4 linked regions of the Arabidopsis thaliana genome follow. The protein of the gene in region 2 interacts with the protein of the main gene of each other region in a biochemical or structural test. Each region holds a gene or a part of one and is shown on either strand. Other genes may lie near its edges. The genes, in order: HEN1, DCL1, DDL and SE.

Region 1 (7,547 bases), on a different chromosome or scaffold from region 2:
ATATAGCTCTGTTCGGATCTTTATCTATCAACTGTTCTTCCACATAAACAATATCCATTTGTTAGAAAACCTCAATCATAGACAGGTTCAAGAAGATCACTCAAAATTTGAAAAGCTTTTAAGAGATTTTATCACATGAGGAAGAATCTAGAATTCCTAAATTAGGTCAAAAGAAAAATTCCCCTGTCTTGTTTTCGCGGGAAAATTGATTATACCTGCGCGTGTTTGGCTCTGACGTAAGGAGAATCACCAGAAGGAACTTTATGAACAATGTGAAACGGATCACGTCTCTCCGACGACGAAGAACAAGAATACGGTGGTCTCCTCCTCTCCGTCATCGGCATCGCCGCCACATGATCACTTGTTCTCGCCGGCGGCGGAGTATAGTAAACTCCAGGTGGAGCACGACGCTCTACGCAGGGACACATTTTCTTTTTCGATTCTCTCTGTCAATTTACTCAGATAAAGTTCGAGAAAGCTTTTCCCAGAATTCAAATTCTCGTGTTCTTCAGAAATCGCCCTCGTGAAAAAGATCAAGAACGCAAATGCTTTGAAAACGAATCAGTGTCGTTGAAGAAGTGAGAAAGTGATAAAAATCACAAGGACTTGTATTTAAATAAACAAACTTTAACGTAGGGGCAAAAAGGGTAATCTACTGATCTAATCTTTAAACTTCAACGGACCAGTAGACTTGGAGACAAAAGGATCTTGTAAACATAAAGGTTCGATTTTATGGTTAATCTGCAAAAGCTCATGGCAAAAGAACTAAACGAGCTTTGAGTTTTATAGATGAACACGTCATCACATTGCTTGCAATATATATATTCTCTGGTAGATACTACTCTAGTCAAAGATCAGTCTTTTTCTTTTCTACATCTTCTTTCTTCCACTCCCAGATGACTTTATAAGGCTGCATTGAGCTTTCTGCAACATTCTCAACAGATGAAGCTTCCCGTCTAAAAATAGCTATCTGAGAAGCAAATCCGGGTTCTACTTCACCAGACCCACCAACACCGCTAAACTCGACGCTGTAGTTATGGCGTTTGCCGAGCTTTGATGCCCATTGATTGAACTGTTCTCTTGTCCACTCGAATTTGTGGTCATGGTTCCTGAACTTTGGAAGCTGTGGCTCCGAGTTGTTTTCTTCTTGGGTTTCTGGTGTAGACCGCTGGAGAATTGTGTTGAACTCGTAGTTTGGTGTTGAGACAATCAGGAGCTTGGGGTGGAACAAGCTCAGAACTTTTTCCCCAAATTCACAGGCTTGATCTTCTTCCATGTGTTCAATAACCTACAGATTAGGAACAGATTATAGATTTAACGCCGAAACCAGACAGATTGCTTTTGATAAACGTGTACAAAATTTGAAGGATTAGAGAGCAGATGAGAGGTGGACCTCTAAGCAAGTGCCGATGTCAACGTCATGCAGCCTGGAGTCAAACTCAAGGATGGAACCATCATAAAGTGTAGCAGATTTGACGTTGCAAGCTTCCTTGTTTAGTTTTACATGTAGCATCTAAAGTTGAAACACAAGATACACAAAAGCATAAGTAAATCTACCATTTCTTTTCAATTACACAAAATGCAGAGAATCATGAGTGGTGCAAATACATTCTTCATCAAACATTTATCAATTATTTTGATGCATTAGTCTCATCAAGTTATGTCTACGAGCGGGAATAAAAAACAGTGATGTGTGATTTTGCAGACCTTAGCAGCACGGGCAAGACCCTTTGGCGAAATGTCAACACCGATGATGGTTTGAAGTGAAGTTGGATAGTCAAGTAGAGAGTCTAATAAACTTCCAGATCCGCATCCAAAGTCAACCTGTAACAAGAATAGAGGTGCCATCTTATGCTTGTCAAAGATTTACCAATAAGGACAAAAAGAGACTGAAACAAATGAGTTTTAACAAAGTCTTGAATTCATAATCCTAGTAAGCAGGAAGACATTAAGATATATAGAGCTTACCAAAGTAGAAGCGGATGATTCTCTTATATGTTTCAGTGCATATTCAACACGTTGTTTTGAAAGTGGAGGTTTGAAAAAAGCCGCCTCCATTCGTTCTTCTGATGGCCCTTTCACTCCCAACAAAAGTATATTGTAATTTAAACATGGACGTTCTGTGCACAAAAAGCAGAGAAATCCATCACTATCACATTTAAATGTTCATGATATCTCTTAACTTAGTCATAGATATAGGTCTAATTTTTGTTCATCCTCTGTTTACAGCCATGTAAGCTTTGATAATTTTGGCTATGATTTGAAAAAGAAATAAGAGACCGACAGATTCATCTAACTAGCTAGAGCTGACACAGTAAAGTTGAAATGCTAATAATACATTATTCCATAACAGAAAGAATAGAAAAAATAAAATGGACAAGACTTTAAATCAATCCTAAGTTTCACCAGAAGACTTTACGTGAGGTTCTTACATAACTTTGCCTCTTTTTAGTATTAGTGAGAACCAGAGCTTTGTAGTTACTAGTAAGACTAGACCTAAGTTCACTGGTGAAGGCAGTTCAAATGTCTAACATATGATAAAGACCTTTTTTTTTTTTTTCAACCAGAAAATCGTTTTCAGAAATTTATCCTACAACAAATGTAAACATTATAAGTATTACCTGATAGGAGCGAGCGGATTCTCACAGTATCAGAACCAACAGCCAAAATCAAAGCTTCAGCAGCATCAGGGGGTGTCATCCTAAATGAAGCATATTCACCCACAGTCATCTGAGTAACTTCTGATTCAATATGTGGATTCATGGATCCAGTCCCTACCTCAAACTCTATCTCTTCATTGCTTTCAATGAGCTCTACTGAGGATTCACAATTAGCCGAATATTCAGACTCCATCTCTTCATTGCTTTCATTGTCTTCTCTTGGAGATTCACCATCACTCGAATATTCAGGATCCACTGCCAAAGACAAAGAATAGCATATGCTAACCACGGAACCATTTGTTATAGATTGAACACGCTTCTCTGCCGACAGCACATTTGTGTTTTTTGATTCAGAACTGTGTTCCTTTTGTAAAATCGGTGGGGCCGCAAAAACATTAGGACTTGAAGATTTAGTATCCTGGTCGTCATCTGTATCACATGATTGCTCTCCATCCACATCCAGGTCAGCAAAAAACTTACTAAACCATAAGAGGGCCTTTAATGAAGCATTTTGAATGGCATCATTTTCCTTCTCATAGAATTTTCTCGGTGAACATTCTAAAACTAAATCCTGAGACTTTGTAAAAATCTTCACTTCACATCTAAACCCATGCCCTAGTCCTGGTGTATCTTCTTTTTGCCTACTCAAATTCTCATTGGCATCATCAACTCCTGAGACCTTCAACTTCTTGTGAGATCTGAATATGTCGGACAACGATTTCACAGGTGCAGTAGATGAAGAAAGGATGGGTTCTGCTAGTCGGTGCTGGTGGCAGAACAGGCCGAGAATCTCCCTGGGGAGTGGACCTCTCCAATTAGATTTTGTAGTGAATGCAAAAGGCAACTGTGCAGCAATTACAGCTTGTCGGGAAATTTTGTAGATTCCATTGGGTGACATACCGCAACATATTCTGCAGCAGCCACAAAGCCAATGTCATGCATCAGTGCATGATAAGAATAAGATATGCAGTGCTTCATCGGAAGGCAAAGACAAACATCAAATGCATTACTTCAGAGTTAGTAGACGTTACACCAATGCAATATTCCTAAAATCCTTATTCTAGAAGAAGATGTGGAAAGGAAACAAATCAGACATAAAACTGAGCGGTAGGAGAGAAGAGACCTGTAAAATGAATTTACGGTTACATCATCATAGTCAAGATCATCGGACTTCCATCGGTAACCAACAGATGCCAAGATTGCATCCCCGTGAATATCTTGACCACAAATGTAACTTGCTCGTGCATTCCGAGATTTTACAATATGAGATGAGTCTTCATTTGAAGTACCAGAGGCATCTGATGAATTATCCAAGTACTTCTTTGGAATCTCAGAGTACAATCTACACTCAGAGCCACAGGAAGCTTTGCCAAACATCCTGTTGAAAAGAAAAAAATACTTTCATACCAGATTAACACCAAGAAAGCTCCAGTTACTAATAGAAAAAAGACAATATAATCACCTGGATATCATCACTTGGTTGCCATCTTTCAATCCGAGCCTTTCAGCAATACTATCCAAGTAATGCCGGTTTGATGAAATGTAAAGAGTATCTAACTCAACAACTTCCTCATCGATACATGGTATATATACAGCCGCGACTTCTCTGCTATGTAGGGAATCAGATACATGAGTAGCTAGTGCTTCCACGATTTCTGAAGGGTATGCATTTTTCCTTCGGAGTCCATGCGGAGATGCAACAATGTAGTCTGCCAACTTTGCAGCAGCCTTCATAACATAGGAAATGGCCAAGAAAGGATCTGACTCCACAGAAGGATTGATAATTTTACAACGACTGTTAATCTTTGCATCAACTGTAGCAATGACAGAAACGGGAACTGATCCACAACGTTCACCATCTCTTCGCAATGCCGCTCTAAGGTGAGCTCCCAGAGGATGCTCAGCTGAAAGAAACTGCAATCGCAACAAACATTAATGCCAGTACCACTTCCTATTTAGACATCCAGATACCTTTTGGTCCAGCGATATAACTGGTAATATGTTTAACGAGGATGTCGTTACAGCTACAAAATAATAGAAACCAAAATTTTCTTTTCATCAACTAACCTCATCAGAAAATATATACTTAATGCGTCCAACAATTTCATCCCTAGCTTCATCCACAGTAAGATCATCATTCTGAGGGCGAATGCCTAGCTGCAACATGAATAGTCTTGCCTTCGTTAACATAAGAGAGAATAAATTACATAAGATATATATATATATATAATAAACAACAAAGCATACCTTGTCAAGAGCCAATTCAGCAGCAGATTGTTCAGAATCCTTCTTCTTCTTGAAGACATTTGACACAACAGAAAATTCAGGTAGCTGCAAGTGGCAACGATAGAGACATGGACCTTTTTGAGGAATTGCTAATCCTAGACAACCACTCTGAGAAGAGTCATGAACTTCCTCAACTGTATAGCTTGCTTTAGCACCAAACTTCTGATGTATAATCGCCTTTGGAGTAGGAGTATGCTTCCCACCACCGGCCATCACAAACACAATGTAGCTTCTTTAACACACTGAGACAAACAAAAGGGTACACATAAATATTGTCAACGATCAGGAAAGATTGGAACTTTTATGCAAAATGTGCATACCCCTGAAATTAGGGTATCTAAGAGAAGAAGAAGAATGTCTTAAACTTGACAATTCAAATCAGAGCCATAGAAAACATTAATAAATAAACAAAAAGTTCAAAATCGAACCAACATCTATTTGAGTTCCAACATTCTCAATGTTCTAATTCTAAGAAAGAAATTGAGTCAAAGCAAAAAAATTTCGTTCCAAGGAAGTACAGATAGATAGAGGGTTTGGGTATAAACAACAAAAAAGGGTTTTGAGTGTAACATTAGGACAAACGAATTGTCATGAACAGAGAAGATGGGTCAATGAAATTGAATTTCAGAAAGAGCCCAGAAGTTCAAAAAATAAATACACAAACATAAAGCAAGAATAATCGACAACGAACCTAAAGAGTTCAGCGGACTTTCATGTAAGAAGAACTCAGGAGAGAGCAACAGAGAAAAAGAGAGTGGGAGAGAGAGAATGGGGTTTTAGAGGGAGGAAGGAGGGTGTTTTGGTCATTACATGTTGTAGAATCGTTTCTTTTTCCAACTTTTTATTTTATTCCCCTATCCACCATTCTCTTTTTCTAGAAGAAAATAAATACCATTTACGTGTGAAGTTATTATAGGTTTAAGGCTCTGATTGGTAAGGCGTTTTTTAATGTAATTATGTAAAAAAATTCTCATATTAAGAAAATTTGCATAATTGTATAAGAAAACGTAAAAACGCACAATTTGTATTTTTGTTTAAATTTACAAGTAAAAATTCATTATGCAAAAAATGGGTATATAGTTTTTATTCGCATAAGAAATTGTTATTATTTTACGCATCTTAAATACTAACAATTTTAAACAATAAAAAACTATAATTATTTACACAAAAATTATGTTATTAATAATCTACATATACATTTTTGGGGAAGATTTGTGTCGAAAAATCATTTTTCAATTTCGATATTGTATGTTTAGTCCCTACAAAATCAATCAGACAAGATTGTCTTCTTTATGACAATGACCAAATTTTTGATCAATTATTCACGTTTTGCACTAATTACTTACCTAAACAAAAATATTATTTTGCACTACCCTCATAAATTGCACACATTAATCCCTTGAATCTCTACTAATTCAATATTACACGAAATAATATTCCCTAAAAATCCGAACAACCAAATAACTAACCATATCTTTACTTACTTCATTTCAAAATCTCTAATCAGCATTTTCACAACTCTTTAATAGATTTTAAGAATCTTATATTTTTATTATCAAATATTACTTAAAATTTATTAAAAACAGTTTTATTAGTATAAATATATATTGTTGATATAATATTTTATTTGTCGTTCTGTAAAATGTATCCAATCAACATATATTTTTAAGTAATTTGATTCTACGGTTTTTCATTCTACATATTTTATTATGCAACTTATACCGTTATGCTATTATGCAATGTTACGAATCATAACCTTAATGTTTGGTATTCTCACATTTCTTGTGCTTTGTAGCCAAAATTTGAAGAAAACCATGTCATGTAATGAATGCATAACACTAAAATATGAGTCATATCATATGACCAAAAGTAAAAGTGTGATTAAGGAAGAAACATGGAGATTTTAAACAGAACTAGATTTTAACCCGCGGTATACCGCGGGATGATTTATTTTTTTAAAGTAATATCTATTAAAACTTGCAAATTTTATTTTTATAAAATATTTATATTTTACAGTTTATAATTGTTATTAAGTAACGCTATACCACGAATCCATGAGACAATTGTTAAAAAACTGAAGTTTAACCCCTTGTAAAACAGCATATTAATAATATTTTAAAATTTTATAAATATTGATTCAAATACATCCACCATATAACCCAATTCCAAAATAAAACCCGTTCTGTAATTCCTTTACCCGTCCCGTAATATTTTTTTAAAGTAATAATTTTTAAAATTTAAGAATTATTTATTATATATAAAAGTTTTGCAAATTGTATCATTCTCTAACACATTTATATTTTATAGTTTAATTTTATATATAGTAACATTATACATACCACATAACATTTTTGGTTTTATATAATCTTTTCTAAATTAGGATGATTTGATATGTTTAATATTAGTGGTCTTAAAAAATAATAAATTAAAGATTTAACCCGTATTCAAACAGTGGATTAATTATATTTTATTTTTTTATTAATGTTGATTCAAAAACCCGTCTCTCCAAATCCGTCTTGCCAAAAAGCCATTTATTTTATTAATATTAATTTTATTTATGATATGACTCTGAATTATAATCTGAATATTTTAGCTAATAAC
Region 2 (4,622 bases):
GGAAGAAGAACAAAACAATATCTTAGTTTCTTCGGCCTCACTATTCGACTTCTATCTTCAATATATTTTCGCGTATTTTTTTATTTGAATTATTTGGTTTTTGGTTAGTTAACTAAACGAGCAACAGAACCAAGATCGAATTGCGTTTGCCGTTTGGATTCAATTATTGTAGAAAATTCGACTTTTCAGACATTTGTTACGTTCTTTCTAGTAGTTATATTAGTTATTATATGTGGAGTGGAAAGAGATGAAAGTAGATGTAAAACATAAGTGATTTCTTCATAGTGATTTTAAAACTTTTTGTTGATTTTCAAAATTATATAATATCCATAAAAAATAGCCTATGCGTGTTGGATGCTTACAAAGAAGAATTTGTTTTCGGCGTTAGCCAAAAGTCGATGGCATTTGCTAAAGGTGTTATTTGAGTGGAAATGATCTAGAACAAAAACGCATTGATATACCACCACTATAATGATTTGGAGACGTATCTAGTTCTCATCAACTTTTCAATAGTAAACGCATTATCAAGGTAAACGAAGAGTTTTGCTTTATCAGTGTACCATACACACATTAATAGATTGATGGACGTTAGTGACTTTGGTATTGACTTTAACGCCAAATGGACATCAATTCTGCAAGGCAATGCCTAGTTTCAAAGCAGCGTTACTTAACATTTAACTAAAGGTAGTGCAAACTGGTTAATACTTTTTAACGGCTTTGCAGGAAGAGTCTCGACTAAAAGGAGAGGAAGAGATGAGATCGACGAAGATTTTCATATCATAAAAAGTAATATAGGTTTTTGAAAATAGTTAGAATAATTATTTTTATTTTTATTTTTATGGGAAAGAAGTTGCACGAGTCGGTCCACAGAATGACAGAACAAAAGCATTTTAGAAGTTTAGAACCAACCAATCACTATAGTTTTCCACTTGTCCGTATCTCATTGGTTCATCGAATATTAACTTACATGGAAACAGTAAAAAGCGTGGAATAAGTCGTAAAACTGAAATCTAAAAATGAAAAGATTTCGATTTCGATATAAATACTTAATCTTTATAAAATAATATCGAAATCTTTTCATTTTTAGTTTTCAGTTTTACACTTTTACTTGATAAATTTAATACATCTGTTAATTTTTTTTCTTCTAAAATTAACATATGATATCTATTCGGGAGATAACCCTAAGAAAACTGATAAAATAAATAAGTTACTTTTTACAAAGTCGAATAAATTATTTACCCTTCTGCTTTAATGGCAATTATCTTAATATTGCAAAAAAAAAAAGAGAGAAATATTACTACAAAACAGAAGCAAGCAAGTGGAAAACAGACCAGAAGAGAGAGGAAGACGAAGAGAGAAACAGAACAGAGTAGGGATCGATAGACCGTGGAATCTCAGAATCACAAACACTTTGCAAAAGGGTTTTCAATTCCTATTTATTTACAAAGAAATCATCAATAGTAGTGGTCTCTAGGGTTTTGCTTGCTCTTCTTCGTGACCCCTTTTTACCTGCAAACAACAACTTCAAAATTGGCGTGTTTCGTACGGTCTATCTAACCCTAATCTGTCACAAAACACTCTTCTTCTCTCACCCCTTTTTCTGGGTTTATTCAATTCTCGTGCTTTTGGTTCTGTTTTCTTCTCTGGGGATTTGGTTTTCTTGAGTGAGTTTTTCTCCTCTTTCTTATGTTCTTGATTTGATTATTATATAGAATTATGGTAATGGAGGATGAGCCTAGAGAAGCCACAATAAAGCCTTCTTATTGGCTAGATGCTTGCGAGGACATCTCTTGTGATCTTATCGATGATCTCGTGTCTGAATTTGATCCTTCCTCTGTTGCTGTCAATGAATCCACTGATGAAAACGGCGTCATCAATGATTTTTTCGGTGGGATTGATCACATTTTAGATAGTATCAAGAACGGTGGAGGCTTACCAAACAATGGCGTTTCTGATACCAATTCTCAAATCAACGAGGTTACTGTAACTCCTCAGGTTATTGCTAAGGAGACAGTGAAGGAGAATGGGTTGCAAAAGAATGGCGGTAAGAGAGACGAATTCTCGAAAGAGGAAGGAGACAAGGATAGGAAGAGAGCTAGGGTTTGTAGTTATCAGAGTGAAAGGAGTAACCTTTCAGGTAGAGGGCATGTTAATAATTCTAGGGAGGGAGATAGGTTTATGAATAGGAAACGTACTCGTAATTGGGACGAGGCGGGTAACAATAAGAAGAAAAGGGAATGTAACAATTACAGAAGAGATGGTAGAGATAGAGAAGTTAGGGGTTATTGGGAGAGGGATAAAGTTGGTTCCAATGAGTTGGTTTATAGGTCAGGGACTTGGGAAGCTGATCATGAAAGAGATGTTAAGAAAGTGAGTGGTGGAAACCGCGAATGCGATGTCAAGGCAGAGGAGAACAAGAGTAAGCCTGAAGAACGTAAAGAGAAGGTTGTGGAAGAGCAAGCAAGGCGATACCAGTTGGATGTTCTTGAACAAGCTAAAGCGAAAAACACGATTGCTTTCCTTGAGACCGGTGCTGGAAAGACACTTATCGCGATTCTTCTTATTAAAAGTGTTCATAAGGATCTGATGAGCCAGAACAGAAAAATGCTCTCGGTGTTCTTGGTTCCCAAAGTGCCTTTGGTTTATCAGGTACCGCCTAATAAGAAACATGTTTGTATTCTTTTTTAAAAAATTGGTTACCTATTGGTTTTGGTTGGTTGATTTATCTTACGTTATCAGCAAGCAGAAGTGATCCGTAATCAAACTTGTTTTCAAGTTGGACATTATTGTGGTGAGATGGGACAGGACTTTTGGGATTCTCGAAGGTGGCAACGAGAGTTTGAGTCTAAGCAGGTTGCTTTTTGATGCTTCTTTTTCATACCAGCTTTGATCTTTTATATGAATCAGTTCTTGAAGTTAACGAGTTTTTTTCTATTTTCTTCTACGCAGGTTCTAGTTATGACAGCACAAATTCTGTTGAATATACTGAGACACAGTATCATTAGAATGGAAACAATTGATCTTCTTATTCTCGACGAGTGTCACCACGCTGTCAAGAAACATCCATACTCTTTAGTGATGTCAGAGTTTTACCATACAACTCCTAAAGATAAAAGACCTGCCATCTTTGGAATGACTGCTTCGCCTGTTAATTTAAAGGGTACTGATTGTTTCTTGTATACAGTTCTCTAAGCTTGCCAATGTTCTTGAAAGTGACACTTTTTGTTTGTAAACGTAGGTGTTTCAAGCCAAGTAGATTGTGCGATAAAGATACGTAACCTCGAGACCAAGTTGGATTCTACGGTTTGTACTATAAAAGATCGAAAAGAATTAGAGAAACATGTGCCTATGCCTTCAGAGATAGTCGTCGAGTATGACAAAGCTGCTACTATGTGGTCTCTTCATGAGACAATAAAGCAAATGATTGCAGCTGTTGAAGAAGCGGCACAAGCAAGTTCAAGGAAAAGCAAGTGGCAATTTATGGGGGCTAGGGATGCTGGAGCAAAGGATGAATTGAGACAGGTTTATGGCGTCTCTGAAAGAACGGAGAGCGATGGTGCTGCCAATTTGATTCATAAACTTAGAGCTATCAATTATACTCTTGCTGAATTGGGTCAATGGTGTGCTTACAAGGTAAAAAAACAACTTAGTAAATAGTTTTCGATAATTTGAAATGGATATGTTATTTTCATATGATATAATTTTTGTGTCTTCTTTCAAGGTGGGACAATCATTCTTGTCTGCTTTGCAAAGTGATGAGAGGGTGAATTTCCAAGTCGACGTGAAGTTTCAAGAATCATACCTCAGTGAGGTGGTGTCACTCTTGCAATGTGAGCTTCTGGAAGGCGCTGCTGCTGAAAAAGTCGCGGCGGAAGTTGGCAAACCAGAAAATGGTAATGCACATGACGAGATGGAGGAGGGAGAGCTCCCTGATGATCCTGGTAAGTATTAATCACATTCTTTGTCTAATCGCTTTTTACCGGTTTTAGAAATCCAATATTAACAGAGCTCTATGGTTTTAGTGGTCTCGGGAGGGGAGCACGTTGATGAAGTAATAGGCGCCGCAGTGGCTGATGGGAAAGTTACTCCAAAAGTACAATCATTGATCAAACTACTCCTCAAATATCAGCACACAGCTGATTTTCGAGCTATTGTTTTCGTTGAGAGGGTGGTTGCTGCTTTGGTTCTTCCTAAGGTTAGGATTAAAGTGAAAAAAACAATTTATTTTCTTGTGTATAATTTTTCTGCCTATGTCTCTCTGAGCCTGGAAATTTTCAGGTTTTTGCGGAGCTGCCTTCGCTTAGTTTTATACGGTGTGCCAGCATGATTGGACACAATAACAGCCAGGAGATGAAATCATCTCAAATGCAGGATACAATTTCCAAATTCCGAGATGGGCATGTATGATTTTTTTTGTCTTTCATTAAGACATATTTTTTTTTTATCTTATACTGAAATGTCTTACTATTTCCTCTTTCTACTGTGATAGGTGACACTGTTAGTTGCCACAAGCGTTGCTGAGGAAGGACTTGATATTAGGCAATGTAACGTTGTTATGCGTTTCGACCTTGCAAAGACGGTGCTGGCATACATTCAGTCTCGTGGCCGGGCAAGAAAGCCTG
Region 3 (5,659 bases), on a different chromosome or scaffold from region 2:
TATATTGTCCATTAATGAAAATAATTTCGATAGAAGCTGAAACAAGATATATTAATTTCATTTTAGCTTATATTCTCCGTTATCTAGCGTTTGATGTAACATTTATAAGTATATATCTGTATTAAGTACAAGAATTTGTTGAGGAAGGAAAAAGTGTTCTTACAAACAAAAATATAAATTTGTCAATGATGGAGACATGTAATTCGTGGGGAACTGCTACTAAGTGTTTAACGATAATATATATGGTTTATAACGTGACAAGGTGATGATAGTCAATTCATCTATTTGAAAATCCTTCAACAAAAAAACAGAAAACGTGATGAAGGCAACATTAGGCTAACACCACAAATAGCTAATTGATATATAAATATAGTCGGTCCACGTTCTCGAACCTTTATAGTCCGGCAGGATAATTATTTTACTATTGTCTAGCTTACAAAACATGTACGACATATTGCACTTTTAGATTGTGAGATACGAATTGTGTGAATTTGTAAAGTTAGTACCGAATCTTTGATGGTTGTTATAATAATTTGCCTCTTTTTCATCAGCAATCTATGACGTAAGAGGCTACGTATGTTCGCTTAAAATTTGACCTAATTTGGACTTTGTCATAGTGAAACCGTATGACAATAACGAAGAAGGTGACGGTGACCGATTCTGATATATGTGACAGTCTAGCCAGTATTTTGCAAAACATAAGATACTAATGAAGTGCATGATGCATGACCGATATTTGAATTAGATATACAAGCCGGCTGGTAGATCATTAGACAACATTTGTTTGTGTGTCTATGATGCGAAAAAAATAAATATTCTCAATCTTTGACAAAAAATATAATAATGACAAAGTACATATCGTTTTGTTCATACGTAAACAAGAATTAGTTTTTAATCGTCTATAATATTGGCGTACACTAGTATATACATGAAACTAAAGATACATCAAATAAACAAGGAGACATGATTTGGGATTCGATGAGCCATCACCCGACAAACCAAAGCATCACCCGAGAAACTCATACTGACCCGTCTCTAAAGCTCGAGTCTATGAATGCTGTCTTCCACATAAGCTTCAAGGCCAACAGTTGCGACTACAAATCGGTAGTAAGGAGAACTACAGATGGGATTTCAGGACATATGTTCCTCGAAGTTGAAAATTTCTCTCCACAAGTTCCTTCATGAGAGGATCAAAGTTGGTGGTAAACCTGGTGCACTCTGTTACAATCAGAACAAGATCACTGTCACTTCTGATGGTTTATGTCGTTTAGCTATCCACCTCAACTATATCTATGATCTTGTATTTGTCTTCTATCCTATCAAAGTTGGTGGTAAAGCTGGTGCACTCGATTTGTTACAGGCTCACCGATTTGTTTGATGATCAATTATAAAATCTTTGTTGCAAACTAGGACGAAGAAACAAAAATCTCGAAGGAAGTACAAGGGTACGACGTTACAAGCGGCTTCTGCCCTAATTATACATATCCTTTCTACCAAACAAGATATGACACGTGTCAACTAATGGAAGTTTTACCATACCGTCTACAATTTGTTTGATATTGAACCCCTCAGTTTCCATTTATTTGCAAAAGAGGCCAAATAAATGATTCTTCTCGTTTTGGCTCTGATTCTTTTTATCTCTGCGATTATTATTATTCACTCTCTCCTCTTCTCTCCGCCGAAGTAGTCACAGTTCCGGCCACCAGGTAAAATTTTTCTTTCTCGTTATGCAGCGATTTTTTCTCTTAACGATTCTTGCAACCCTAGACTATGCCCGGAACTTCTGAATTTAGTATTTGAAATCTGTAGCTTACGTTTTTTGGTTTAGGGCTTTTGCTCCATTTCTAGTTTCTATGCATTTGGGAATTAGGGTTTACTGTGTTATCTGGAGCTCACATGCCTTTTCCTTCTGACCCTGGTTTCAATTTGTGATCTTTCCAAAGGCAAAGAAGAGAGAAAACGACCCTGACTCCAATAATGGCTCCTAGTTCTAGGTCTCCTTCACCACGTACGAAGAGACTGAGAAGAGCTCGAGGAGAGAAGGAAATTGGGAGAAGTAGAGAGAGAGAAGATGATGGTAGAGAAAGGGAGAAGAGAAACAGTAGGGAAAGGGATAGAGATATAGGAAGAGATAGGGATAGGGAGAGAAAAGGAGAAGGAGAAAGAGATAGGGAAGTTGGGGATAAGAGAAGACGATCAGGGAGAGAGGATACTGAAAAAAGGAGAAGGACAAGAACAGATGATGAGAGATACTCTAGAGGAAGACATGAGAGGTCTACTTCACCGTCAGATAGGAGTCACAGGAGTAGTAGGCGTTCACCTGAAAGAGCTATTGCCTCAAGGCATGATGAGGTATTTCTGCTTCTTTCTTTAGCTTGGATATGTTCTTAATCTCAGAAGTGTTTTTTTTTTTGTTTTGGGTTTTACTTGTGCATATTCGTATTCTGCTTGAAAAGATAAATGTGATTGAAATTGTTTAGCTCTGATGTATGCTAGAAAAGGTTAGCCTCTGCTGCTTGTTTCGTCACATAATAAATAATTGGAATCCTGTAATCTAGCTTATCCATCTCGTGAGTCTATAACTAGAACCTGCAGCCAGCCATTTTTTGCTTACTCTGTTGCTAAAGGACTTAAGAAAGATAGTCTCTTTGTTTCCCTTCAGCATGTCCAGTAACATCACTTCTCATGTTTCTCTCTTTTTAGTAAAAGCTCATTATATAGATTATGGTTGCTTTCTGCAAATTATCATTTTCTGCGAGCCACAGATTTTTGTTACTTCTTCAGTCATTTTTATCGCCTTTTGTCTTTTCAGGGGTCTAATGCAAGAGGGGGCAGCGAGGAGCCGTGAGTTTTCTTCTTATTAGATTAGCCGTTACAATTTTTCAGTCTTTCTTTTAACCATGTTATGGGTTTTCGTTAACAGAAATGTCGAGGAAGATTCAGTCGCGAGAATGAGAGCAGTTGAAGAGGCTCTGGCAGCGAAGAAAAAGGTATTATATCAAGCCCTATTGATTTTCAATTTCCAATGTCATTTTGAGCTCGCTTAGCTCATCCATGCATAAATGCTAACGCTTCAAATCTAATTTTGATATATCTTGTAGGAAGAACCATCATTTGAGCTATCAGGGAAACTTGCTGAAGAAACTAACAGATACAGAGGTGAAACTTCTGATCCGTCCATTTCATTTAAGAATATCACCTGTTACCATTACCTTGTGCTAGAAACTTTTGCCATAGTGTTTTCATTGCATGTTTGAACTGCGAAACATCTGCCTTTGTTGTCAGGTCATATTTACTTAATTTTGTATGCGTACGTGTCTGTCACTGGGTAAAAGCTTTCTTTGGTCAATATCTAATGAGACTAGAAGCTTCAATATATAAGCATCTGCTATCAGCAGATATCTTTTGACTGCCAATCCGCTTTTGCTCCTAGGAATGGAGACGGTGGTTTCTCGCATTAAATTTCACCATAGGCATGCTTAGCTTCCTTGACTGAGTGAATCCTTTGCAGGTATCACACTCCTCTTCAATGAGCCCCCAGAGGCTAGAAAACCCAGCGAACGATGGAGACTGTATGTTTTTAAGGATGGTGAACCACTGAATGGTGAGTCTTTGACGTCTTCCACATCTCTATCCATCTGTCTAAGTAGTGGTTCATTTGTCTTCTATGTATTTCACTTAACTATCTTACTGTGGTGAACGTCAATTTTTTGTCCACAAAATATGCAGTAAAGCATGTAGTGGCAATGAAAGAGATACTCAAGAAATTTTGATGCACTCTAGCCATGTAAACTTGAAAACTGTGGTCATTGATGGTTTAGTGTCCAGATAACAGCGTGATTACCGATAGTAGCCAAACTATAGCTTGATACTTCTTAGAACTTGTCAATTTTCTTAGAATGAATCTTATTATGAATGTTAATGACTCTTAGAGGAAAAATAGCTCCTTTGATCTGATATGTTTGTGACTGTGGCTTCCCGTGTCATTCTTACTTTGAACCCCTGAACATTGTATATAAGATTTTACATTTTGTTTCCCATTTCTGTTTGCTTAATAATTCTGAATGCCCTGAATCAGTTTTCTTGATGTATGTTTCTGTGCATGTGAAATGTGTTGGACTAACAGAGCCACTCTGCCTTCACCGCCAAAGCTGCTACCTCTTTGGACGTGAAAGAAGGATTGCCGACATTCCTACGGATCACCCATCTTGCAGCAAGCAGCATGCTGTCATTCAGTACCGGTAGGGTTCTGACATGTATTTCTCCTTTTAAGTAGTAATATCTATGACAATAGATTTAATGAGAATAAGGTTTTTAGTTTAATATTTATGTCACTGTGAATGTGCTTTTCTCAGGGAAATGGAAAAGGAGAAACCAGATGGTATGATGGGGAAGCAAGTGAAGTAAAACCTATCTGCTCTTTCATTTTGCTTAAAATTTGTACCTCTTCTGGCTTTAAGCTAAATTTTAATTTCCCTTAATGTCACTTTCCAGGCCTTACATAATGGATCTTGGTAGTACCAACAAAACTTATATCAATGTAAGTGCTCAATTACATTCCTTCTTATGTGCTTCTTTATCATGGTTAATTCAAACGTTTGTGATTAGAACTTCTTTTACTTTTTCAGGAAAGTCCCATTGAGCCACAAAGATATTATGAGCTTTTTGAGAAAGACACCATAAAGTTTGGCAACAGCAGGTATTCTAATGAAGACACATTCTAGTTCTGGTTTCCCATTATGAATCATACCCCGTGCCTATTCTCTGTGATTAATCTTTGCTTGCTGTGCAGTTAACATCTACTTTCTTCTGTTCTTGACATGTTTTGTTCTTTTGGTTGCAGCCGAGAGTACGTACTGTTGCACGAGAATTCTGCCGAGTGAATGAAATCAGAGTCAAGCAGAAACGAGTAAATCACAAGATTAGATAGTTGCGTTTCTCAGGGTTTTTAGAGATGTTTGAGCTGCTTCATGTATGCTTTCTACCGTGCTGGTGATAATCTCAGACATCATTTAGAAATCTTTTGCTTGCTTGTTATATAATAAATGATGATGAACGATTGGTAAGAGAAAAAGGTTAACTTTTGGTATAACTGTATAAGATCAATCTCTACTTTAAAATTGTCGCTCCCTGAGGGTTTCGACCTAACTTAACGTAGAAACATGGAGACGACTGAGATTTCAACTAGAGTTACCAAAACGGACATCACTTTCTTAGTAAGATAAAGCTAACTCTGCGATTGAAAACTACTTATTTGTCAAGCCTTTAGTGAGGGATTCAAGGATCAAGTCACGGATCTCCTCCCTGCTTGCTCAGTCAAGAGTGGTTCTGCCGTCAGCATCCTTAACCGTGTAGTCAGCGTTTGAGAAGCTCTTCAATTTTAGGCTTGTCTCCCTCCGAGACTGCTAGCATTAAAAGGATGTCGACATGGTGCATCTTATCTTAGGTACCTTCCACCGCAAGTATCCCCATGTAGTTAAAATACTGCAAATAACACAGAAACGACAATAATAAATCTAACATTTCCTCTGTTTTCTTCATTCACAAACTCAGACACAACCACGTACGGAAGCTTTTATAAGCGCCCTTGTAACAAAACAAAGATTGACATATTTGACTCTAGAAGCTTGAAGTGAACACGAACCTGTTCGACGTCGTC
Region 4 (6,303 bases), on a different chromosome or scaffold from region 2:
TGAGTGAGAGTATCATTGTATTCATGTTGAATATGAGAGAAGAACAGTGCCCTTTATTACCAAATTGCATCATGATATATAAAACAAATGAAAATTACGCATTGCAGGATATTTGCTATTTAGCGAGACATGATCATTCTCTCAAATCTCAAACTCAAATCTCATGCCTCCGTATATAGAAAAAAACAAAGAAATCCCAAGCAAACACAACGAAGATACATAAATTAAATCCAAGGCAACAAATACAAATCAAGCTTATGTTGCTCCCAACACAACACAAATCAATCATACATACCAAATAAAAAAAACCCTCAAAGCAACTATCTATCAACAATTAAAGAACAAATTTCCACTTTGAAATCCTAACACAATCTAACCTATTCTCTTAACTTAGTAACCTGTTCCGCCGTTTAAAGTTCCTCAAGCAAAATCCTTATGGAAAGAGTAAAACTTTCACAGAACCATCGGATAGATGACAAACAATCAGAATCACATAAGAAGGCAACTTTTTCGTAATCGGAATCCCAAAATAGGGCGAGAGAGAATATAAGGAGAGCATAACCAAAGTCATACCGCAGACAAAACACAAAACTGATTGAACAAATTAAGAAGTTTTCTTAGAGTAATCGAAAATCAAAACCTGAAAAGTGCACGAATTTGACAAAAAAGAGAGATTTTTATAGAAAGGTAAAGAAACCCAAATGAAATTGGACCATTAGAGTAGAAGAAAACCTAGAAAAGGTGAGATTTTTCACACAAGTAGAAGAAACAACAGTAAGATGGAGAAACGGTGATACCTAAAGAGATGTCCTTTGAGAGCTTTGGAGTTACGCGAGAGGATCAAACCCAAAAGAAAACAAAACGTCTTCTTCTACAGGAGACGAAGAAGAAGGAGAGAGGTGGTCTGTGTCGTGTGTGAGTCAGCAGCGAATCAGATGGGTAGAGAGAAGAGAGAGAGAGAGAAGAGGAATCTTATGCGAGAGGAGAAAAAGGAGATTGTGTGTGTATGTGTGTGACTACCAACATGCAATAAAGCATTTGCTTGCTTGTAAAGACGATTTTGACGGATGACTCCAAAAACGGTAACTTTCTCTTGCCGTTGTTATTTCTACTCCGGTTACTTTTCTTACACCTTTTTTTTGTTTGTCTTTTTATTTTTTTAAGGATTCATTAGTTTATGATAAACATCCTTAATCTATGGTCTTAGTCAATTGCTTTACAAAACAATTTTGTTACATGTCAACTCACATTTTAGTATTTTACTAATAATCAAATCCATAGACAGATTATGAAAAAATAATCCATAGTGATCCCATAAAAAATAGAAACTAATCTTATCAAATTGACAGAGATACTAAGACTTATTATTGGCTTAATTTACAGAATTGTTTGAAGAATTTTTCTGGAAATGATGGGAAAGAATCTGACTGAAATATTAAAATAGTTTTGCTTCGATGAAATGGAGGAATAGTCAAAGGTGTGGACAAATAATTAACATAGAAATCCAAATACTGTATTTTCATAAAGACGAAGATGGGCCTCTGAGAGTAAGGCCTATTTATGAAGACGAAGATGGGTCTCTGAGAGTAAGGCCCTATTGGAAATAAAGCTCACTGTAACAGTAACAGCAGCAAAACCCGTAAAGGTAGAGGGAGAGACACAGAGGCTTCGAGTGAAATCGTACATTCTCCGATTTAGGGTTCCGAACGAAATGGCCGATGTTAATCTTCCTCCGTCTGATTCCGTCGATAACCGTCTCCCTGAGAAATCAACCTCTTCCTCACCACCTCCTCCACCGCCTTCTTCTTCTCTGCCGCAGCAGGAACAGGAACAAGACCAGCAGCAGCTTCCGCTACGCCGTGAGAGAGATTCACGAGAGCGTCGTGACGAGAGAGACATCGAACGTCCTCCGCCTAATCGCCGTGAACGTGACCGTTCGCCTCTCCCACCGCCTCGTAGGGATTACAAGAGACGTCCTAGCTTGAGTCCTCCGCCACCGTATAGAGATAGGCGACACTCTCCTCCTCAGCGTCGCTCGCCTCCTCAAAAGCGTTATCGGAGGGATGATAATGGCTATGATGGTCGCCGTGGTAGTCCTCGTGGTGGCTATGGACCACCCGATAGAAGGTAATCTTCATTTCTTATGCTTACACTTCAATTGGAATTACATCAGAGTTAATTTGTTACCGATTGAATTATAATTCAAAGTCATATGGGAACTGTGTTTGCATTGTTGCTTAGCTGATAACTGTTGATTATCCTCTTGTATCGATGGTTGTTATATTCCATCGTTTTCGAGATTTCCTAATCTGTACTCAATTTTTACTTTGCATGTTAGATTTGGGTATGACCATGGTGGAGGATATGACCGTGAAATGGGTGGGAGGCCTGGTTATGGTGATGAAAGGCCTCATGGTCGCTTTATGGGTCGCTATCAGGGTGAGACATCTCTGTCTAAGATGTTTTTACAGTTGAGAGAATCAGTATTACCACTTTTTCGTATGATTTCTGTCTTGTGAGACATGTTTAAGATACCTATCATTGGGCGTTCTTATTATTTGTGGACTTCTGTTCATTTGACTAGCTTCGTATATTTCTCTCTGTATGCTGTGGATTGGAAACAAGCGATTTACATTAGAAGATAAGATGTCAATATCTACCTTTTATTGTGTGTTACTTATGGCAGACTGGGAGGGAGGACGTGGAGGTTATGGTGATGCTTCCAACAGTGGAAATCCTCAAAGGTTAAGGTTCCTTCTTCTTTTGTTTTTTAAAATTTTCTTTGTATTTCATGGGTTTGTTGTCTTTTTCCTATGGCGTGTTTATTCTTGGTAGCGTATTTTTAATCAAGTTAGTGTAAACTAAGAGTTGCGAACTGTCTAATGGTGCTCAATGAATGGAGGATACATCCCTTGTAGAATGTTCTTTCTTCGATGAGACATATATGTTTTTTTCCTTATAGCTCCGGAAAGTTAGAGTGAATGTTTGAGAGACACCATTATAGTGGCACACAACTGATGCTGTCTGTATCCTCCCTTGCTGTTGCATTTAACGATACTACCTTTGTAATTCCTTTACCCAGGGATGGATTGATGTCATACAAACAATTTATCCAGGAGTTGGAAGATGATATATTGCCATCTGAAGCTGAACGCAGGTATGATCATTTCTGCTACTTAGTCTTGTTACTTAAGCAATTTAATAATAAAGCTGCGGGTGTAATGCTTTTTTCCTGATGCAGATATCAAGAATACAAGTCAGAGTATATCACAACACAAAAACGTGCCTTTTTTAACACCCACAAAGAGGAAGACTGGTGATTTCACTATCTTTTTTCATCTTTTATATTCTTCTGGGATATTCTGCAAGCTAGCCTAATAACATGTGTATCTATGTTGCGCATCTACCAGGTTGAAAAATAAGTATCATCCAACAAACTTACTATCTGTCATAGAAAGGTGAGTTCAAGAGTCATTTGAAGCAATTTGATTCGGTGTTAGTGCCTGAATAGTGTAATATTAATACTATACATCCTTGATTTTATTATTTTAATTTTCTTTTCATTAAAGAAACTGTTCAACTATAGATATTCCTTTGAAATTTTTCAGGAGGAATGACCTTGCACAGAAGGTGGCAAAGGATTTCTTACTTGATTTACAAAGCGGGACACTAGATTTGTAAGATCATTTCTTTGGCCTTTATTCCACATGTGTGACTGATCACAATTCTGTCATCTCTAACGCTCTCAGTTTCCCTTCTGTTCCAGAGGCCCTGCAGTGACAGCATTGAATAAATCCGGCCGGACCAGTGAGCCTAATTCTGAGGATGAAGCCGCTGGTGTTGGTAAAAGAAAAAGGCATGGTATGGGTGGAGCTAAAGAGAATGAACTTCTTTCAGCCGCACCGAAAGCACCCAGTTTCACCTCTGATCCAAAGAGAATCCTGACTGACGTTGAACAAACACAAGCCCTTGTGCGTAAGCTAGACTCTGAGAAAAAAATTGAGGAAAATGTTTTACAAGGTTCAGAAACTGAAAAATCAGGTAGAGAAAAGTTACACAGTGGTTCTACTGGTCCAGTTGTAATCATAAGGGGGTTGACATCTGTGAAAGGCCTTGAGGGTGTTGAATTACTTGACACGCTTGTTACATATCTATGGCGTGTTCATGGTCTGGACTATTACGGAAAGGTTGAAACAAATGAAGCTAAGGGTTTGCGGCATGTGAGAGCTGAAGGAAAAGTTTCTGATGCAAAAGGAGATGAGAATGAAAGTAAATTCGACTCTCATTGGCAAGAGAGGTTGAAAGGTCAAGATCCCTTGGAAGTGATGGCTGCCAAAGAGAAGATAGATGCTGCCGCTACTGAAGCTTTAGATCCACATGTCCGAAAGATTAGAGATGAGAAGTATGGTTGGAAATATGGTTGTGGAGCCAAGGGCTGCACGAAGCTGTTTCATGCTGCTGAATTTGTGTACAAGCATCTCAAGCTGAAACACACTGAGCTTGTCACAGAGCTGACTACCAAAGTTCGGGAAGAACTGTATTTTCAGAACTATATGAAGTATGTAGGCTTTTTCTCTTGGATTCCTCTACTGTCGTTTCTGACAGGTTCGTAATGAAATTTTTTTGTGCTATTTGCAGTGATCCTAATGCTCCAGGAGGACAACCAGCCACGCAGCAATCTGGCCCGGTACATGATCTTCTTTTGAGATTTAATGGAGTGTTGACTAGTCTGTACTTTTGGGTTATCACTTGTTTAGCTTGGTTTGAGTTTTATTTACGTGGGTTAATTATACTTTCAACAGAGAGATAGACCTATAAGACGTAAACCCAGCATGGAGAACAGACTGAGGGATGATAGAGGTGGACGCAGAGAGCGTGATGGACGTGCTAATGGAAATGACAGAAATGATCGGTCAGAAGATCAACAGAGAGGGGATAATGATGGTGGAAATCCTGGGGAAGTTGGGTATGATGCATTTGGTGGACAAGGTGGTGTTCATGTTCCTCCCTTCTTATCGGATATAAACCCACCACCAATGCTGATGCCTGTTCCTGGTGCTGGGTAGGTTTAATAAAGATTACTCACTCCCTTCATGATCTTGTTTTCAGAATAAATTAGTTACTGTGTTGAATCAATGATCTTAATGTGTCTGAATGATGATGTGGTCAGGCCACTGGGACCATTTGTACCAGCACCACCTGAAGTTGCTATGCAGATGTTCAGGGACCCAAGTGGACCCAACCCTCCTTTTGAAGGTAGCGGGAGAGGTGGACCTGCCCCTTTTCTGTTGTCTCCGGCCTTTAGACAAGATCCTAGACGGCTGCGCAGGTAACGTAGTTCACTCTGTGCTATGAGTCCATTACCCTATGATCAAGAGTGCAGTGTCTCTAAGGTACTAATGTATGAGAAATTTGGTGCAGCTACCAAGACCTAGATGCTCCAGAGGAAGAAGTGACCGTTATTGATTACAGGAGCTTGTAGACAAGACAGGGCTAGAGAGATCCCGAGTTTACTGGTTCGGGTTGGGTTAAAGGGCATCAGTATTAGAAGGCAAAGCTAGCAGATTGTGGCATTTTCTTACCCTTTTGATGTATTATGTCTTGTTCCTCCCAATTTTCACTCACTAAAGCGTAAAATACGCACTCCATACATTTCCTTATTGTTTTTCAAAATTTTTCATGTGCTTTCTTACTAATTCTGTTCGACGATGATTACATAAATAGCATGAGAATTTCTTGTATTGAATAATGCGTTTTATCCACATTGTTTGTTATCAATACTTAAGTCTCCATGGCAGTCTTAAATCTCCATGGCCATTAAATATAATCTGCAGTCAAACGAATGACTATCCACAAGAATCCAGGTTTTTAGGGTTCAATGTAAATAAGAAGGATATATACACTTCAAAGCCTGGCTCAATGCCTACCAGATTCTACACACTTGCGTAGATGACGTGACACTTACACATGTTACAATTACACATAAGGCATTGTATCGTAAATCTAACAACACTAATCACAGACGAGCTCTAATGAGGTTAACAACCATTTTCCAAAGTTTTCTTTTCCAGAGGTTGTTTCTCTCTCTCAACATCATTTGCGTTGCTTCTTTGCTTGAGATTCTGTTTGTAGCTCTCCCTGCAAATGCAAGATACCGTTTAGATACTCTATAAGACAATACATAGACCAAGTAATAGTTCAGGAACAATTATAGGTCGATATGAACCTAATTGATTGCTGTTACTATTACTAATTCAACTATCATTGGCCTTGTAATTATTTAATAACTACTACTTGGAAAAA

The links.
Region 1: the proteins of DCL1 (region 2) and HEN1 form a complex in vitro, tested with the Arabidopsis thaliana proteins (one study listed by BioGRID).
Region 3: the proteins of DCL1 (region 2) and DDL form a complex in vitro, tested with the Arabidopsis thaliana proteins (one study listed by BioGRID).
Region 4: the proteins of DCL1 (region 2) and SE form a complex in vitro, tested with the Arabidopsis thaliana proteins (one study listed by BioGRID).

What each region holds. Positions count from the first base shown.
Region 1 is NC_003075.7:11,185,417-11,192,963, forward strand, and holds HEN1 (double-stranded RNA binding protein-related / DsRBD protein-like protein), read right to left. Parts: upstream 5,708-7,547; 5' UTR 5,638-5,707; intron 5,404-5,637; exon of another isoform or gene 5,189-5,403; 5' UTR 5,160-5,188; coding exon 4,908-5,159; intron 4,818-4,907; coding exon 4,728-4,817; intron 4,575-4,727; coding exon 4,123-4,574; intron 4,039-4,122; coding exon 3,784-4,038; intron 3,572-3,783; coding exon 2,622-3,571; intron 2,121-2,621; coding exon 1,969-2,120; intron 1,825-1,968; coding exon 1,708-1,824; intron 1,514-1,707; coding exon 1,394-1,513; intron 1,289-1,393; coding exon 848-1,288; 3' UTR 520-847; downstream 1-519. Other genes in the region: MS5 (Tetratricopeptide repeat (TPR)-like superfamily protein), read right to left, coding at 1-31, 216-428. UniProt on the Arabidopsis thaliana protein: Methyltransferase that adds a methyl group to the ribose of the last nucleotide of small RNAs (sRNAs). This protects the 3'-end of sRNAs from uridylation activity and subsequent degradation.
Region 2 is NC_003070.9:21,803-26,424, forward strand, and holds the start of DCL1 (dicer-like 1), read left to right. Parts: upstream 1-1,613; 5' UTR 1,614-1,716; coding exon 1,717-2,649; intron 2,650-2,739; coding exon 2,740-2,853; intron 2,854-2,949; coding exon 2,950-3,160; intron 3,161-3,238; coding exon 3,239-3,633; intron 3,634-3,721; coding exon 3,722-3,941; intron 3,942-4,022; coding exon 4,023-4,195; intron 4,196-4,278; coding exon 4,279-4,401; intron 4,402-4,489; coding exon 4,490-4,622. UniProt on the Arabidopsis thaliana protein: Ribonuclease (RNase) III involved in RNA-mediated post-transcriptional gene silencing (PTGS). Functions in the microRNAs (miRNAs) biogenesis pathway by cleaving primary miRNAs (pri-miRNAs) and precursor miRNAs (pre-miRNAs).
Region 3 is NC_003074.8:7,173,919-7,179,577, reverse strand, and holds DDL (SMAD/FHA domain-containing protein), read left to right. Parts: upstream 1-1,557; 5' UTR 1,558-1,706; intron 1,707-1,943; 5' UTR 1,944-1,977; coding exon 1,978-2,352; intron 2,353-2,812; coding exon 2,813-2,844; intron 2,845-2,923; coding exon 2,924-2,990; intron 2,991-3,101; coding exon 3,102-3,159; intron 3,160-3,511; coding exon 3,512-3,604; intron 3,605-4,126; coding exon 4,127-4,241; intron 4,242-4,355; coding exon 4,356-4,403; intron 4,404-4,494; coding exon 4,495-4,540; intron 4,541-4,628; coding exon 4,629-4,699; intron 4,700-4,843; coding exon 4,844-4,883; 3' UTR 4,884-5,142; downstream 5,143-5,659. Other genes in the region: AT3G20555 (uncharacterized protein), read left to right, coding at 964-1,104, 1,187-1,378. UniProt on the Arabidopsis thaliana protein: Involved in the microRNA (miRNA) and short interfering RNA (siRNA) biogenesis. May facilitate DCL1 to access or recognize primary miRNAs. Binds RNA non-specifically.
Region 4 is NC_003071.7:11,570,876-11,577,178, forward strand, and holds SE (C2H2 zinc-finger protein SERRATE (SE)), read left to right. Parts: upstream 1-1,521; 5' UTR 1,522-1,711; coding exon 1,712-2,127; intron 2,128-2,338; coding exon 2,339-2,439; intron 2,440-2,686; coding exon 2,687-2,744; intron 2,745-3,082; coding exon 3,083-3,157; intron 3,158-3,241; coding exon 3,242-3,316; intron 3,317-3,410; coding exon 3,411-3,458; intron 3,459-3,608; coding exon 3,609-3,677; intron 3,678-3,766; coding exon 3,767-4,558; intron 4,559-4,638; coding exon 4,639-4,687; intron 4,688-4,802; coding exon 4,803-5,062; intron 5,063-5,170; coding exon 5,171-5,329; intron 5,330-5,421; coding exon 5,422-5,482; 3' UTR 5,483-5,783; downstream 5,784-6,303. Other genes in the region: FRS3 (FAR1-related sequence 3), read right to left, coding at 6,094-6,138. UniProt on the Arabidopsis thaliana protein: Acts as a mediator between the cap-binding complex (CBC) and both the pre-mRNA splicing and primary microRNAs (miRNAs) processing machinery.